Linked DNA regions of Diceros bicornis minor. The protein of the gene in region 1 interacts with the protein of each later gene in a pairwise test. Links are inferred from orthologs where the notes say so. Each region holds a gene or a part of one and is shown in the gene's direction. Other genes may lie near its edges.

Evidence for each region. The genes of interacting proteins can lie anywhere in the genome.
Region 2: the proteins of CCDC33 (region 1) and BLK interact in a two-hybrid assay, tested with the Homo sapiens proteins (3 studies listed by BioGRID and IntAct). The two-hybrid records come from large-scale screens. The link is inferred for Diceros bicornis minor from reciprocal best matches to the Homo sapiens genes CCDC33 and BLK.

What each region holds. Positions count from the first base shown.
Region 1 is NC_080744.1:67,225,289-67,232,805, forward strand, and holds the start of CCDC33 (coiled-coil domain-containing protein 33), read left to right. Parts: upstream 1-4,479; coding exon 4,480-4,795; intron 4,796-5,644; coding exon 5,645-6,009; intron 6,010-7,517.
Region 2 is NC_080750.1:62,725,796-62,732,721, reverse strand, and holds the start of BLK (tyrosine-protein kinase Blk), read left to right. Parts: upstream 1-3,845; 5' UTR 3,846-4,011; intron 4,012-6,926. UniProt on the Homo sapiens protein: Non-receptor tyrosine kinase involved in B-lymphocyte development, differentiation and signaling. B-cell receptor (BCR) signaling requires a tight regulation of several protein tyrosine kinases and phosphatases, and associated coreceptors.

The sequences.
Region 1 (7,517 bases):
AGCCCAGGGGTCATGGGTGCAGCCCCAGCTCCTGCTTGGCTGAAAGCCAGAGCTAGAGGGCTTCAGGGATGACGGAAGACTCTGAGGCCAGGAGGGGAAGAGTATGCAACCTGATGGGGCCAGAGGCAGGGGGACTCGATCAGAGTTACCACTCAGAGGGGAGAGCTTCAAGGTAGCCAGACCCCGGCCCTAACCACCACAATCAGTGGAGGGAGCAGACCAGGCTTCTCATTTTGCCTTTACCACTTACCAGCTGAGTGACCAAAAATGAGGCCCTTTCCTGCTCTGGGCCTCAGTTTTCCCGTCTGTGCAATGGAGAGACGCTGGCCGCTGGGCTGCACTTCGCCAGTCTGAGTCTGTGATTCTATCACCCCGTAAGCTTCTGGCGCTGTGGGCTTGAAGGGAGAGGGGGTGCGCCTGGGATGGTTCCACTGTGGGGAGGAGGTTGCTGGAGGGGGCCTGGACGTGGAAGTCCCGGTGCGGAGCGGTGATGATCACATGATCACACTGGCCTGGGAATCAGGAGACCTGAGGTCCAGGTCCACCCCTTCACTCACCCACCAGATCTCTCTGCCCCTCTGTTTCCCCATCTGCAGGAGGGGATAATAGTCCCAGCTCCCAGGCCCTTGGGAGCATCCAGTGAACTCACAGATGTCCCTGTAGGAGGATTCAGCTCTGAGCAGAGGCCAGGAGTGGGGTGGGGTGGGGCAAGTTGGAGGTGAGTCCTTGAGGTTGGGGGTCTGAGGGCCCACAGGAGCCCTGGGGAGTGTCAGCAGGGGAGGCTGAAAGGAGCCACTGTGGGAAACAGGAAGGGGGCCCTCTGGGGTGGGCTAATTAAAACCCCAGGCTCTTCCAGACAAAGCCAGCGGACTCTGAGTGGCCATTCTTCTGGGGAAGAAAGAAGACTGAGGGCCCCATTAAGGCCTTTCATGCTGGGACTGCAGAAGTCCACTTACAGTCAGCACTGTCGTCTCCTCTCCTCACCCCACACCCTGCCCCTTCTTGACTCCTTCTGTGGGAGCCAGGCCTCTGCCTGGAGTTTAAACCTTCTGAAAACTGCAGGAGGCTGAATCAGGGAGGCAGCTGGGAGTGGAGGGAATCCTGGGAAGGCAGTAAGGATCTGGTCCTGCTCTGCTATCCTGGGCTCAGTTTCTCCACCTATAAAATGGGAGTGCTATCCAGCCCTGACCTGCTAAAATTCACTGAGGTTTTCAGACTTTCTCCGTGGAACTGAGATTAGACCTGGAGAAGCCTGAGCATTAGGAACTACTGCCTCCTGCCCTGCCACTTACCCCCATGCTGCTGCCCTCCCTCCTGGGGACCTGCCTGCCCACCTAGGCACCAAGATGCATCTGAGTCCAGGTATGGTCATCACTTCTCACAGATGGAATCCAGATAAAATAGCCAAAAGAACCAGTTCTTATTCTTTTCTGCACAAGCAGAAGCTGGGTTTGGTTTGTCCATCAATTCATTTATCCTTCCATTCATTCATTCATTCATTCATTCTATAATGCTTTAACAGTCCTCCAGGCACCAACCCCTTGCCCAGCTCTGTCCTGGGCACACAGACATGATCCCTGAAGGGATGTTCAGTCGAGTGTGGGCAAGTCATCATTTGAGACTGGAGAGGGAGGTACAGAGTGTGGCAGAGGAGGGAGATACTACTCTGGCGCCAGAGGAGGAGCCTTTTAGCCCGTCTGGAGGACATCAGGTGGGGCTGGGCAGTTTGGGCAGAGGAAGCAGCACCAGCAAAGGCAGGGAGGGGAGACAGGGCAGGCCTGGCCTGGGGCAAAAGTGAGCCTTCCCTAGGACATTATGCTGAGTGAAATAAGCCAGTCACAAAAGGACAAATGCTTTGTGATTCCACCCATATGAGGTGCCTAGAGTAGTCAGGTTCATAGAGGCAGAAAATAGAAGGGTGGTTGCCAGGGCTGGGGGAGGGGAAATGGGGAGTTGTTCAATGGGCGTAGAGTTTCAGTTTTACAAGATGAAAAGAGTTCTGGAGCCTGGTTGCACAGCAATGTAAATATACTTATCACTATTGAACTGCACACCTAAAAATGGCTAAGCTGGTAAATTTTATGTTATGTATATTTTACCACAATTTTTAAGAAAGTAACCATACACACCCACCAAAAAAATGAGCCTTTCCCAGAGACTGAGTGGGGGAGGGGAGGCTAGCAATGGGAAGCGTGGGGGCATCAGCTGTGGAGGGCCCTCAAAACATGCTAAGACCAACACAATCACCTCAGATCCTCTGTAGAAATGTGGAGGGAGGGAAAGAAGGGAGCAAGGGGGGAAGAGGGAGGTGTTATCTTCCAAGCTCAGATAAACAGACTGGGAAGAAGGGTTGTGTACATGGGACCGGCTTGCAGGGGTGGGGGCTGGGTGCAGTGCACAGAGGTTGGCCCTAGGACAGAGAGACTGCCTTCCATCTTGTAACATCTCTGGGGGTGATTTCACACATGCAAGGGGAGAGGGCCACTTTTACTGAATCACTGAATCTCCAAGACCTTAGACCTAGCAGAGGCAAACCATGGCCTCAGGACCTAGGCTGGTGGGCCAGGCCTAGCTGTTGAGACAAAGGTTTCCAGGGAGCCTCTGGAACCTCTTCCCCAAATGGCCAGACTGTGGCCTTTCCCGATATGACTTAGAGAATTTCAGACTGCCGGTGCTGTGGGAAGACTTAGCCACTCGACTTCCACCCATCGTGCAGATGGGGCCACTGACACCCAGAGAGGGAAAGGGATCTGCAAGTCAGGTGACTAGAACTCTGGTCTTTTAAAGCCTGTTTGCCTCATTTTCTCCTTGGGGGACCTGAAGACACTGAATCGCCATCATTGCAGAGGAAGACTCCCATATACATTGGGGCGCTTAGCTGGGCTGGCCAATACCATCTTTAGACTGGTTATTTCTTACTTTATGAAAATGACGCATTCTACTCAAGGTGACTTCAAGTGAACTCTTTTGAATGAAATCTATGCTGTCCATAAATGTACTCTTCAGACTCAGAACTGTACTTCTACAGTCTTAGGGTACAGAAGCCCCTAATAGTATGAATTTCAATCTCTGAGCCAGTCCCAGGACATGTTTAGTAGGGGAAAGTATAGATGGACTTAGAATATCTAGGTTCAAATCTCAGCTCTGCTTCTTGCTAGCCACGTGATCTGAGATTCTCTCAGCCTGAGATTCTTCACCTGTATAATGGGGATAATTATGTTTACCTCACAGAGCCATGCAGAGTGCCTGGCACTCAATAGCTGCTCAGTGATGAGTATCATAAATGATGCTGATGATGATACTGGATAATGATGAGAATGATGATAGAGGTGATGATGATGGAGGTGATGGTGGTGATGATGGTGATGGTGGTGATAGCGGTAGTGATGGTGATGGTGGTAGTGGTAGTGGTGGTGGTAGTAATGGTGATGGTGATGGTGGTGGTGGTGGTGGTGGTGGTGACTGATGGTGATGGTGGTAGTAATGGTGATGGTGATGGTGGTGGTGGTGATGGTGATGGTGGTGGTGATGGTGGTGGTGGTGGTGGTGGTGGTAGTAATGGTGTTGGTGATAGTGAAGGTGGTGCTCATGGTAGTGATGGTGATCGTGGTGATAGTGGTGGTAGTGGTGATGATGGTGATAGTAGAGATGGTAATAGTGGTGGTAATAGTGATGATGGTAGAGATGGTTCTTACTAAGGAGTGTCTAGAATCTCCCCTCCCCAACTGGGTATCAGCAAGACCCAGGATCAGGAAGGATGGGTTCCAGCTTGACAACTCTTTGGTATGAGAAGCTCTGGGCTCTCTGTAAAGTGAAGCTGTGCCCCATATTGTGAGTTTTAAATAAGAAGGTACACTGGTTCCAGAAGCAGGTGCTAAGGGCATGCTCCCAAGGAACATACACTGTCCCTCTCCCCTTGAGATCCCATCCCCATCCAACTCAAGAACTCTTGGGAATGAACAGGCATGTGGAGACAGGCTCTCCCGAAAATTGGACGTCCTGATTACCCCATACCCATGTGCTCCTCACACCAGTTCTCCTCATCCCTGACCCTGCTCTAATTTTTTCCATAGAACTTATCATCTTCTAGCATATATTACAATTTACTTATTTTCTATATTTAGTGCTTATTTTCATCTGTTCCCACCTACCTCCCCCACTAGAAGATAAGCTTCAGAAGTGCAGGAAATCTTTGATTCACTGCTGCATTCCAAATGCCTAAAATAGTGCCTGGCACATAGTAGATGCTCAATAAATATTTGTTGAATGAACAAATGCTAAAAGGGACAGATCAATGGCTGCCTTTGTTACCCAGGACAGAATCAGCTTCCTGGCTTGTTACCTGGTTTCTCCCCAAACAAACAGAGAAGGGTGGGGTGTGGCCCTGAGCACCCAGCGTGTGGGCTTTCAGACTGGGCCCAGGCTGAGACTGTGGGCAGGAAGGGGCAGTGCTCAGCCCAGGGGGGGTCAGTCCCCGATATGGCCATGGCCTTCAGGGGGCCTGAACCCTGGGTCCCTGCATCCCTGCTGAGCCAGAGGCTGAAGACCGAGGAGAAGACACTGGACCTGGAGTTCGAGGTCTTGAGTGTGGGGTTTAATGAGGAGGGCAGATACGCCCTGCGGCTGTCAGCTGAGAACCCCCTGCAGGCCAGCTCTGGGGCTGGTGTGCAGCTGCAGGTAAATGATGGGGACCCCCTCCCCACCTGCTCTGCTGTCACCGATGTCATTGAGCAGCAGGACCCTGGCCAGAGCCTCACCCTCACCAGGAACAAGTTTATCTTTACTTTGCCCAAAGGTATGAAGCAAGGGTAGGGTTTGAGGGGAGAGAAGGACCCTCCAACTCCTGCCCCAGCCCTGTCAGGGACCCCAGGGAGCCTCAGGGACACCGGGAGGGGCAGCATCAGAGCTCTAGACTGAATCCCAAAGCTCTGCCTGTGTGATCTTGGGAAAACGCTGGCCTTCTGTGAGCCCCTTCCTCCGTCAGTGTGACATGGGGACGCTGATGCTGGTCACAGGGTTGGGTGAGGAGGAAGTGAAAGGACAGATGACGAATGGCTTTGTGAATTTACAAAAGCTAAGCACACAGCAGGTGGGGCCAGTCCCACTGGACGTCACACTGAGTAACATTAGAGCCAGCACCCTGAGTGCCCAGCCCTGAGAACCACTGGACTGTGAGTATGGAGGGTGGACAGAGAGGTGGAGACTCGGGCCCTGCCTTCAGGAAGTTTCCAGATCAGGTGGAGAGGCAGGAATCCCAAACAGAATAGTTAAGTGATCTGGAAGGAGCAGAAGATCCACGCCTAGACTATGAGGCCATCCAGGCAGGCTTCCTGGAAGAGGAGGGATATGAGGGAATGGGGAAACCAAGTCCCAGGCCTTCCGGTGACCAGAGATCAGGGACAGGTTGAACTCTTCCCCAGAACCATCTCACAGGCTAAGAGCCCCCCTCTCCCCCTTCAGTAAAGGGAGCCAGCCGTGTGTGGGGCCTGAGAGGGGGTCACCCACCGGGGAAATCTTAGCCAAGCCTGACTTCAAAGCAAAGGCCAGGCAGCCCAGGTTTCCCGAGGGCCCTGGCTGTCCTCCCTATCCCCCAGGGGAGGCAAGGAGACCCCATAGACTCTCTGACCCCGTGTTTCCTCACCAGGGTTCTGCAAGAACGATGAGCAGCACGACGCGCAGCTGAGGGTGGAGGCACTGAGGCTGTGCGGGGCCTCAGGAAGTGCAGCCCAGCGCGTGGGCGAGGCCATCTTCCCCATCTATCCTCGCCCAGACCAGCCCCGCATGAACCTGTCGGCGCGGGAGCACAAGGACCTGTACCGCTACTGCGGCAGGCTGGCTCTGCTCCAGGCCAGCGCGGACCCCACGGCCCGCCACTGCGGGGGCCTGGCCTACAGCGTGGCCTTCCACGTGCACCGGGCCCCTCAGCCTCCCTCCTCCAACTGCTCTCCGGGCCCGGGCCAGCCAGAACCTGTTTCACCACGCCCAGAGCCCCAGCTGGCCAGGCTGCAGGTGGGTGACCTGGGTTCCCGCCCAGGTTCTGGCATCACTGCTCCCGCTAGTAGAAGACCCAGCGTCTCTGATAAGACTGGCTGTCCCCAGGCCCTCACTGAGCAGAGCAGCGGAACTTCCCTAGGTTGCCTCAGTCAGTTCCTGAGAAAGTGCAGTCTGAGGATGGAGACAAGGAGTCCCGGTTTGAAGGGAGAGAAGAAAATGGAGCAGAGACCACACAGAGCAGGGACGCCACTGGGTAGGGTTTCTTTTGCCCAGTGGATGAGTGTCCCCTGAGACTCTTCAGCCCCAAACTCAATCTCACACGTTCTCACCAGGTTTCGAGGGAGGCCCCAAGTGATGGTGAGATAGAAGTGCCCACCCTCCAGCCCCTTCAGCTCCCACCACAGCCAGGAGGGACTCAACGCTGACCCAGGACCCTGGCAGCCTCAGGCCCAGGCGCAGGAGTCTAATCCTTGTCCAAGCTGTAGGAGGGTTCCCCAGTGTGGCCATGTTCTGCAGCCAGGCAGTGTGTCTGGTGGGCCTCACAGCCAGTACAGGCGGAAGCTAGTAGAGCAAGTAGTAGCCCATTTCACAGGTGGAGAAACTGAAGATCATCCCCAAGGATGCTTGATTCCATTTAATGCCAACAACATTTCCTGGGGACCTTAGTGCACAGTAGTGTATGGAATCCAAAGCTATGTAGTCCCTGGGCTCAAGGTGCCGCCTGACGTGAAGACAGTCAGGCACAACGTGGGCACCATATGGTCCTGTAAGGCATGTGCTAGAAGGAGAGCTCTAGTGAGGGAGTGTGTGGATCCGATCTTACAGCCTAGCAAAGGCTTTTCAGAAGAGATGTCATCTGAGATGAATCTTTCATTCGTTAGTTCATTCACTCATCCATCCATCAAACATTTGTTAGGTGCTGACTCTGTCAGACCCCATGCTAGGTGGGTGAGATTTAGGGATGGCAATTCTGGGCTTTAAGGAGGATATTCCAGGAGGAGGGATAAGAATAAGCTGACTGAGGGGAAGGCTGGCAGCAGAATGATCTGAGGTTGAAACCAAAGGTTTACAGCAGAAGGTGCCTGGCTCTTCTGCAGTGCCTGCCTCCAGCAGAACGTTGGTCTGGGGCTGAAGTGGAGCCCGGGCTGGTGGGGGAGTTGGGCTGGGAGAGGGCTGATGGGTGGGGGAAAGTATAGAGAGTCAGGGGACAGTGGCAAAAGAGCTAGGTGGATATTCAGTTTGAGAGGCGATGGGGGACCACCAGAGGGGTTTGTGCAGGAGAAAGACATGATCTGAGCTGTGGTTCAGACAGAGTGATCTGGTAGCATGTGCCAGGAGAACTGGAAGGACGGACCAGGGACCCAGGGACCAGCTTCTCTTGCCCATTCATTCATTAGTCAGTCAATCAACAAATACTTTTCACCACCTACTGCATGCCCAGCTCTGCTCAGTGCTGAGGATACAGTGGTTGACTTGTGAGTGAGAAGGATGATACCTGGGTTCCTCCGTGACATTCTGTTCCC
Region 2 (6,926 bases), on another chromosome or scaffold:
CTTTTGGATCTCTTTCTTTGGATTTGATAACTTTTATTGTTCTATCTTCAAATTCACATCTTTCTTCTGCCATCTCAGATCTGCTATTGAACCTATCTAGTGAATTTTCAATCTTACTTCTTGTAGTTTTCAGCTCTAGAAATGCCATTTGATTCTTTTTTATAATTTCCATTTCTCTGTTGAGATTCTCTTTTTGTTGACTTGTTGTTAACATAAATTCCTTTAATTCTTTGAGCATATTTTCCTTTAATTCCTTGAACATAACTATAACAGCTGCTTTGAAGTCTTCGCTAAATGCAACATCTGGGCCCATTTGCAGTCAGAGTCTATTAACTTGTTTTGTGTGGTTAGTTTCCTTTTCTTTGCATATCCAGTAATTTCTAGTTGAAAATTGGACATTGAATCACAAAGCTGGTCACCTCCATGGTGTGCAGCCATTGATATCACTGTGCAATTTGTATTTTTAGTATTTCACTTTGTTTTTTAGTCTGATTCTCTAAGGGTATCCCGTTTCTGCATTGTTTAATGGTCAGGCAATTATTTGGACAGAGGTTATGCTGAGACATTTTGAACCTGTAAACTTTCCACCTTCTGCTGCCCAAGCTGCGTGGTTGGAGGAACAAATTCAAATCTACAGCCAGTCGTCAGGTCTACCCTGGCTTTCACTTTTTGCTATACTCTCTCAGGTCTCCCTGACGCATGCGTATTTTAGCACTCAGTCAGGGATGTATGGGAAGTTTACTGTCTCAGGCCTTTCTTGGCTCTCTTACTTCCAGGATTTCTCCCATTACATTTCTGGGTAATCTTCTGCCCACTCTGAACAGAGGTTATAACCTCAAGCCGGTAAAGCTGTAGTTTTTCACTTTCTGTCTAGAACTGATTCCATGACCTTTAACCCATAAAACTGCAGATTTTCATTTCCCCATCCCAGACCAAGTCTGTCACCCCAGCTGATAAAGCTGCTGGTTTTCACTAACAGCTCTCAAACCAAGCTCCACATTCCCACTGGTAAAGCTGTGATTCTTATCACCCAAGCTACAGGATAGGGGAGGAGAGGACGTAGCACCTCCAAGTAAGAAGACCAGAATGGCCATTCTGATGCAGCAGCAGTTTTTCAAGATTAAACATTTAGTTTATTGTCTGCCTTTGGTCATTTTTCGAGTCCCCTGAAACGGTTGGTTTTGACAACTTTGTCTAATTTTATACTTTTCTTCAGAGGGAAATTTCCCATTTTCTCATACCACCATTCCTGAAGTGAATTTTGGACTGGATTATTTTAATGTTTCTTCCACTTAAACATTCTTTTGCCCACAGTTTTTGATTTTGATCAGAAAGTTACTGATGTCAGGAGGCTGATGTAGACACAATGAAAGAGAGCTCCAAATTTTGCATAAGTCACCTCAAATTGTGCAAAAATAAATAGGGGAGCCAGTGAGGCTGAACATTGAACTGGGTGTTTCAAAGCTGGGGTCTGGTCTCAGTGCAGCCCTGAGAGCGCTCTCTGAGGTTCTCTAACAAAAATGTTTAAAAAGGATACCCCTAGCCTCACCTAACACATCTCACTGCTTCTGATCTTCTCCCCTGGGTCCTGCCCCCACCTCCCGTCTGCCTTTCTCATGGATTCTATGACTCTCTGAAGGTGAAAATGGCTGAAATTAACTTTCACTTCTGCTCAGACATCTGAAACCCAAGAGCAAGGTCATTTCCTTGTTCTTTTCTGAGTGACTGCTGGAGTCCATTTTTGTTGTTTTTCTTTTTCAATGCCTGTCTTTTGGAGGTGGACAGAAAGGTGAAGATGTTTTTCCAGACCACAAAAAGGCCAGCTTACCTTGAACCTCCCCTCCCTGCAAACTCTCACATCCCCTCTCACTCCAACCTTGAATAAATGAGCCAGAGTCAGAGGAAAATGGATTTTCTCCTTAGCAAAGTGGATTTCCTGCTCCCCACTATATTCTCTATATCCTTAGGTCCAAGTATATAAAAGTTGTCCAAAGGTCACTTATTTAGGCCCCACTGATAAAAATATTAGACATAAGTCAAACAGCATCATTGGATCCTTGTTCAGTAAAAGCCTCCATCTAGATACCTGCCTCCAAGAGTCTGTAGGATTCTTAGTCACAAATCACATTCGAGGCCTTCTCCCTGGTAACTCCCCCCAATAATCCCTGATGGAATTATTCCTCCTGCCTCTGATCTAATATTGTGCCTTGTTGAGGCTTCTGTGGCTGCACTTACCATATCCCATACCCCATTATAATTGTCAGTCTAGCAGACCCCCTTCCCATGACCATCAGAGGAGGGTCATGTCTATTTCTGTCTTTACCCTCAGCCTCTAGTGCGTGCTTACCACAGAGCAAACACTCACAAAATTTGTTGTGTTAGTTGAATTGAAATAACAAGACAATAATCTTATCTCAAATCAGTAACTTTTGAAATCATAAGTTTAAGGAGTTTGGGATTTTTTCAACTTGTGTTTAATGCTTAGGTTTAACTCTCAGGTGCCAGGAGGTGAATATAATAATCAATTCATAATAGGTATGATTCACTGAGCATGGCTGGTTCTGAACACTCTTCTGGGCCCTTTGCTACCCAGGATAGAAGAAGACAAAGCAGTTTTAAAGATAAGATTTGAGACTTAGTTTAGACATATTCACATCAGCTACCAGTTATTTGAAGTTTACTATGTGCTAAATACTGTAATAGATATTTTTATACATTAATCCACTTATTCTCATAAAAACCTTTTGGGGAAATGAAGCAGATAGTTTCCAAGGACACTTAGATCCTAAGAACTCTATGTTGCTGCTGCTGTTGCTGTGAACATCTGTCAGAAAGCTCTTTCCTACCAGGAACTAACAGCGAGGTATTGTCTTAGTCCTAAAATCCAAGGACAGAAACTCCATGAGGATACTGAGATTCTGGATTGTGATGCCAGGCCAGGAGTAGAAGCAGGCCTATCTGAATTCTATCCGCCTCAAGGTTTCCAGACATAGAGGCAGGAGAAGAGCCCCCCCATTGGCTCCCTTTGTTCCATGTGTCAGAAAGCAGGCGACCAATGGCTCACCATGTCTGGATGGACAAACAAGTCTCCCGAGGTCATCTCAGCAACCTTCTTGGTCCTGTTGGTCCCTCAGCTGGTGTAGTACAGGACAACATCTCACCACTCTAGATGTTAGGGTCCCTTCCCCACCTCCTCCATCATTCTCTGCTCCTCTGAGTTTTCATAGCCAAGTGAAGCAGCACGATTGAAGAGGCCCTGAGATCAGAATCAACAACTGGCTAGAGTGCTATAAAAAAGAAACAGGGAATTAGCATTTACTTATTGAGAGCCAATTCTGTGCCTGTCACTCACACCCATTCTATCATTTGTGCTCATAGGATCTTATGGGCTAGGTGTTATCAGCACTTTTTGGAAGATGAAGCAAAACCAATACGGCTGAGAGAATGGCTGCCCTGGCTCCCACGAATGGCACAGGCAGCAGAGCCCAAGCTCTTTCTTGTCTTGCAGACAAATGTGGCCAGCCAGAGCGAAATACCCTGTAGAGTTAGCTTGACTCTGCGAGGCTCGGTACAGGAAAAACACCACCTGTGTTGTCAAACCAAAAGCCCACGAGAAAACTTTCTGGGGGCGGAGGGGCATTATGACCGATGTGGCCTGGGGCAGGAGAAAGACCAGCTGCCTGTGGCCCTTTTTCATGGGCTTTTCTGGGACAGTGGTGCCCACTGGGCCCAGTGAGCCCTTGGAAGCTTTTTGAAGCACTGGGGTGGAGGGGCGGGGCTCTTTGGGGGCGGCTGGTGAGGCTCTGACCACAGACCGAGGAACCTGCCATCTCCGCCTGGTGCTTGCTGCCTGCAGGAAGCCACGAGCTCCGTGAACTGATTGAGACGACTGGGATGGGCTTTTTCTTTGGGATTACATCAGAAGTTGCTGGTTATAGCTAGAAGGCTGCGTCACCACAAGGGCGCTGGGATTTGAAGAACTATGGTGAAAAGCCACTGAGCATCGCCAAGGTAAGACGCTACATCTTCTGCCTTCCTGATCGTCTCATTTCCTTCAACTGTGCAAACAGTGCTCTGAGGCCTGTAGCTGGGAGAGCGGGCAGGAACATCACTGTGGAGGCTATAGACAGAGAGAGAAGACATTAATGTGATCTGAGCCACAGCTATGAATAGACTGCCCCATTGTTTGTTTGTTTCTATTTTAGAGAGACTTTTCATTTATAAAAATTCATCTGGGTAGACTCTGCTTCTTGGGCTTTCTAAGCTGGAAAAGGCAGTGGATGTGCCACAGAGAAAAGACAGGAGAAGGCTGTGGGGTGGGGAGATGGGTGGGCACACACGTGGCAGCTGTGGGCATCAATCATGTTACTCAGCCTCCCTAAAAGTGACAGTATTGACATTTACGATGCAGAGCTAACAGGAGCTGGCAGTGATGTATGCAGAGTGTCTGACTCAAGGTCAATGATTGGGTGTTGCTTTTGTTTTATTTTGTTGGTTTTTGAATCAAGTTTTCCATTTTTCAGATACCATGGGTAGGGTGACGGAATAGATTTAATGATGATCTTTTGCCTAAGAGCTCTATTTTGGCCAACTTCGAAAAGGAAAGAATAACTGATAATATATGTTGAGAAAATTTTTTAAATTCTAGGGTTTTGACAACTTTTCTAGTCATTTTCTAATTGTCCATTGCTTCCACCCTCAACTATCCACATTACCAAGGAACCAAAGAATTGTTATTGTCGTGCTCCATAGTTATAGAGAAGAATTCTGCATGATACATGTAGATACTCCCCCCTTCAGGATGGGAGCTTGATTCCCCTCACTTTGAGTGAGGACTGGATGTAGACCAGAGTATGGGAAGGGAGAAACGGTAACTCCATAGTGGAGAATCCTGACAGACTCCACCGGCAGCAGGTGATCAGGTTAACAGAGTAACCCGCAATGCCAGTAGAGTCATGAGAAAACATCAGACAAACCCAAATTCAGGGACAGTCTACTGAATATTAGATCTTAAAAATTGTCAGGGTCATGAAAAGCGAGGAAAGATGGGGAAACGATGACACATCAGAGGAGAGTAAGGAGACACGACAACTAAGTCCAGAATTCACATCCTGGATTGGACTGGATCCTGGAAAAAAAAGTCATTGGTAAAAGTAGACGAAATCTAAATAAAGTCTGGAGTTTAATTAATATCATTGTACCAATGTGATTTCTTAGTTCTGGCAAATGTAGCATGTTAGGTAAGATGTTAATATTAGGAGAAAGTGAGGGAAGGGCATATGGAAAGTTTCCATAGTGTCTTTGTAATTTTACTGTAAACCTAAAATTAGCCCAGAATAAAATGATAAAAACAATTTATCTTCATCCTGCCTGAAGGCAGAAATGGTCAAAATCTGAACATGCTTGGGAAAGCTGGCATCCATGGCCCAGTGGTCCCCACTGTCTCTCGAACATTCTGGAACATAGCAGGCCTTTTGCATTTTTTACCATTCTCTTTCCCAACCCCCACCTTATTCCTGGAAAGCTCTATATTTCCCTCTCCTCATGGTATTTCTCATCATTCATCTAATTTTTCATTCAGCACATGCTTTCTGAGCCCTCACTCTGTGTCAGAGGGTTTAGGACTAAGTCCCCCACCCTCTGTCTGCCCGGCAGAGCTCACTGTGCTGATTCAGGCTCTCGGGGCTCCAAGCACATGCCCAGCTACCCAAACATGACCCCTCCCTGGTAAGGAAGCAGGAGGCCGAGAATGGAGGCAAGCGAAGGCCAGACACTGCGTGGAATACTGGATGGATTCTGCCATCCTCTGGGCTCAACCATCCCCACAGAGTCTGTGGCCAGTCAAGCAGCTGTGAGGTGTGCTGGAAAACAGTTTCCTGCGAGCAAAGCTGTGTCCTGAGGGATGCAGAGTGGGACTCGAAGAGCCAACTCCTGCTTGAGTGACAACCTGGCCTGGGAGCCCACTCTGCAGCCCTAGAATCTGCAGCAGCCAGAGGAGGCCACCAGGGGCCAGCATCCTTGCTTGTAAGGTCCAGGTGTGTGGAGAAGCTTGATATGCCCCCACCACCACCCCCACACCCCCCACAGGCCCCGCAGAGCAGGTGTGCCCTTGTTCAAAGATGATGTCTCAGCTAGATTAGAGAAACGCTTCAGAAGCAGGTGAGAAAGAAGAAAGAATTATGAAGCCATAGGAAGACAGCATTTAGATGAAAATCACACCACTTAGATGAAGATCAAAACTAAAGAGCTGCGATTACCACTGGGCCTAAAGTACCTTCCTGTCACATCTCCTGCTTCCCCCACTGCCAACCTGAATGCTTTGACTACACCAGCCACGCACTGCTTCTGGAAAGCACCAGGCCAGGCTCCTGCTAGTCCCTCTGCCCAGGATCCCCTCCCCGCTGTCTCATCTAGGTAAGTCCCACTTGTTCTAATTCTCAGGACCCGTGCCAATGTCTTCTCTTCAGTCACCAGTGCCCAAATCACCCCCTGTGTCCCCGTGAACCTCCAGCACGTGCTTAAAGCTATTTGTTTGCAGGTCTGCTGCCCTTCTGGGCCTGAGCTCCTCCAGGACAGGGACCAGGCCCTCCATCCCTTCCCCTCTGGGTCCCAGCACCCAGAACAGTGCCTGGCACAGGATGGGTACCCTGTGAAATGGCTCTTGAGTGAAAGAAACGAGGACAAATTCTTGAATGCAAGTGAAGATTAAGACATGAGGAAGAAAGTTTGAGGGAGGAAAAACGTGTAAGATTTAGAGATCACCCTTAGCCACAATGAGCTCTGATGCCATCGCCACATGAGGGTTTTAACGAGGGTCCTTGCAGAAGGAGACCGGTGTCACTAGGTCTCTGGCATGTTTTGCTCCCTGCAAGGCAGTGTGGGCCAGAGGACAGTGGGCCTTGGGGCCAGCCAGTTCTGTGCTAGAC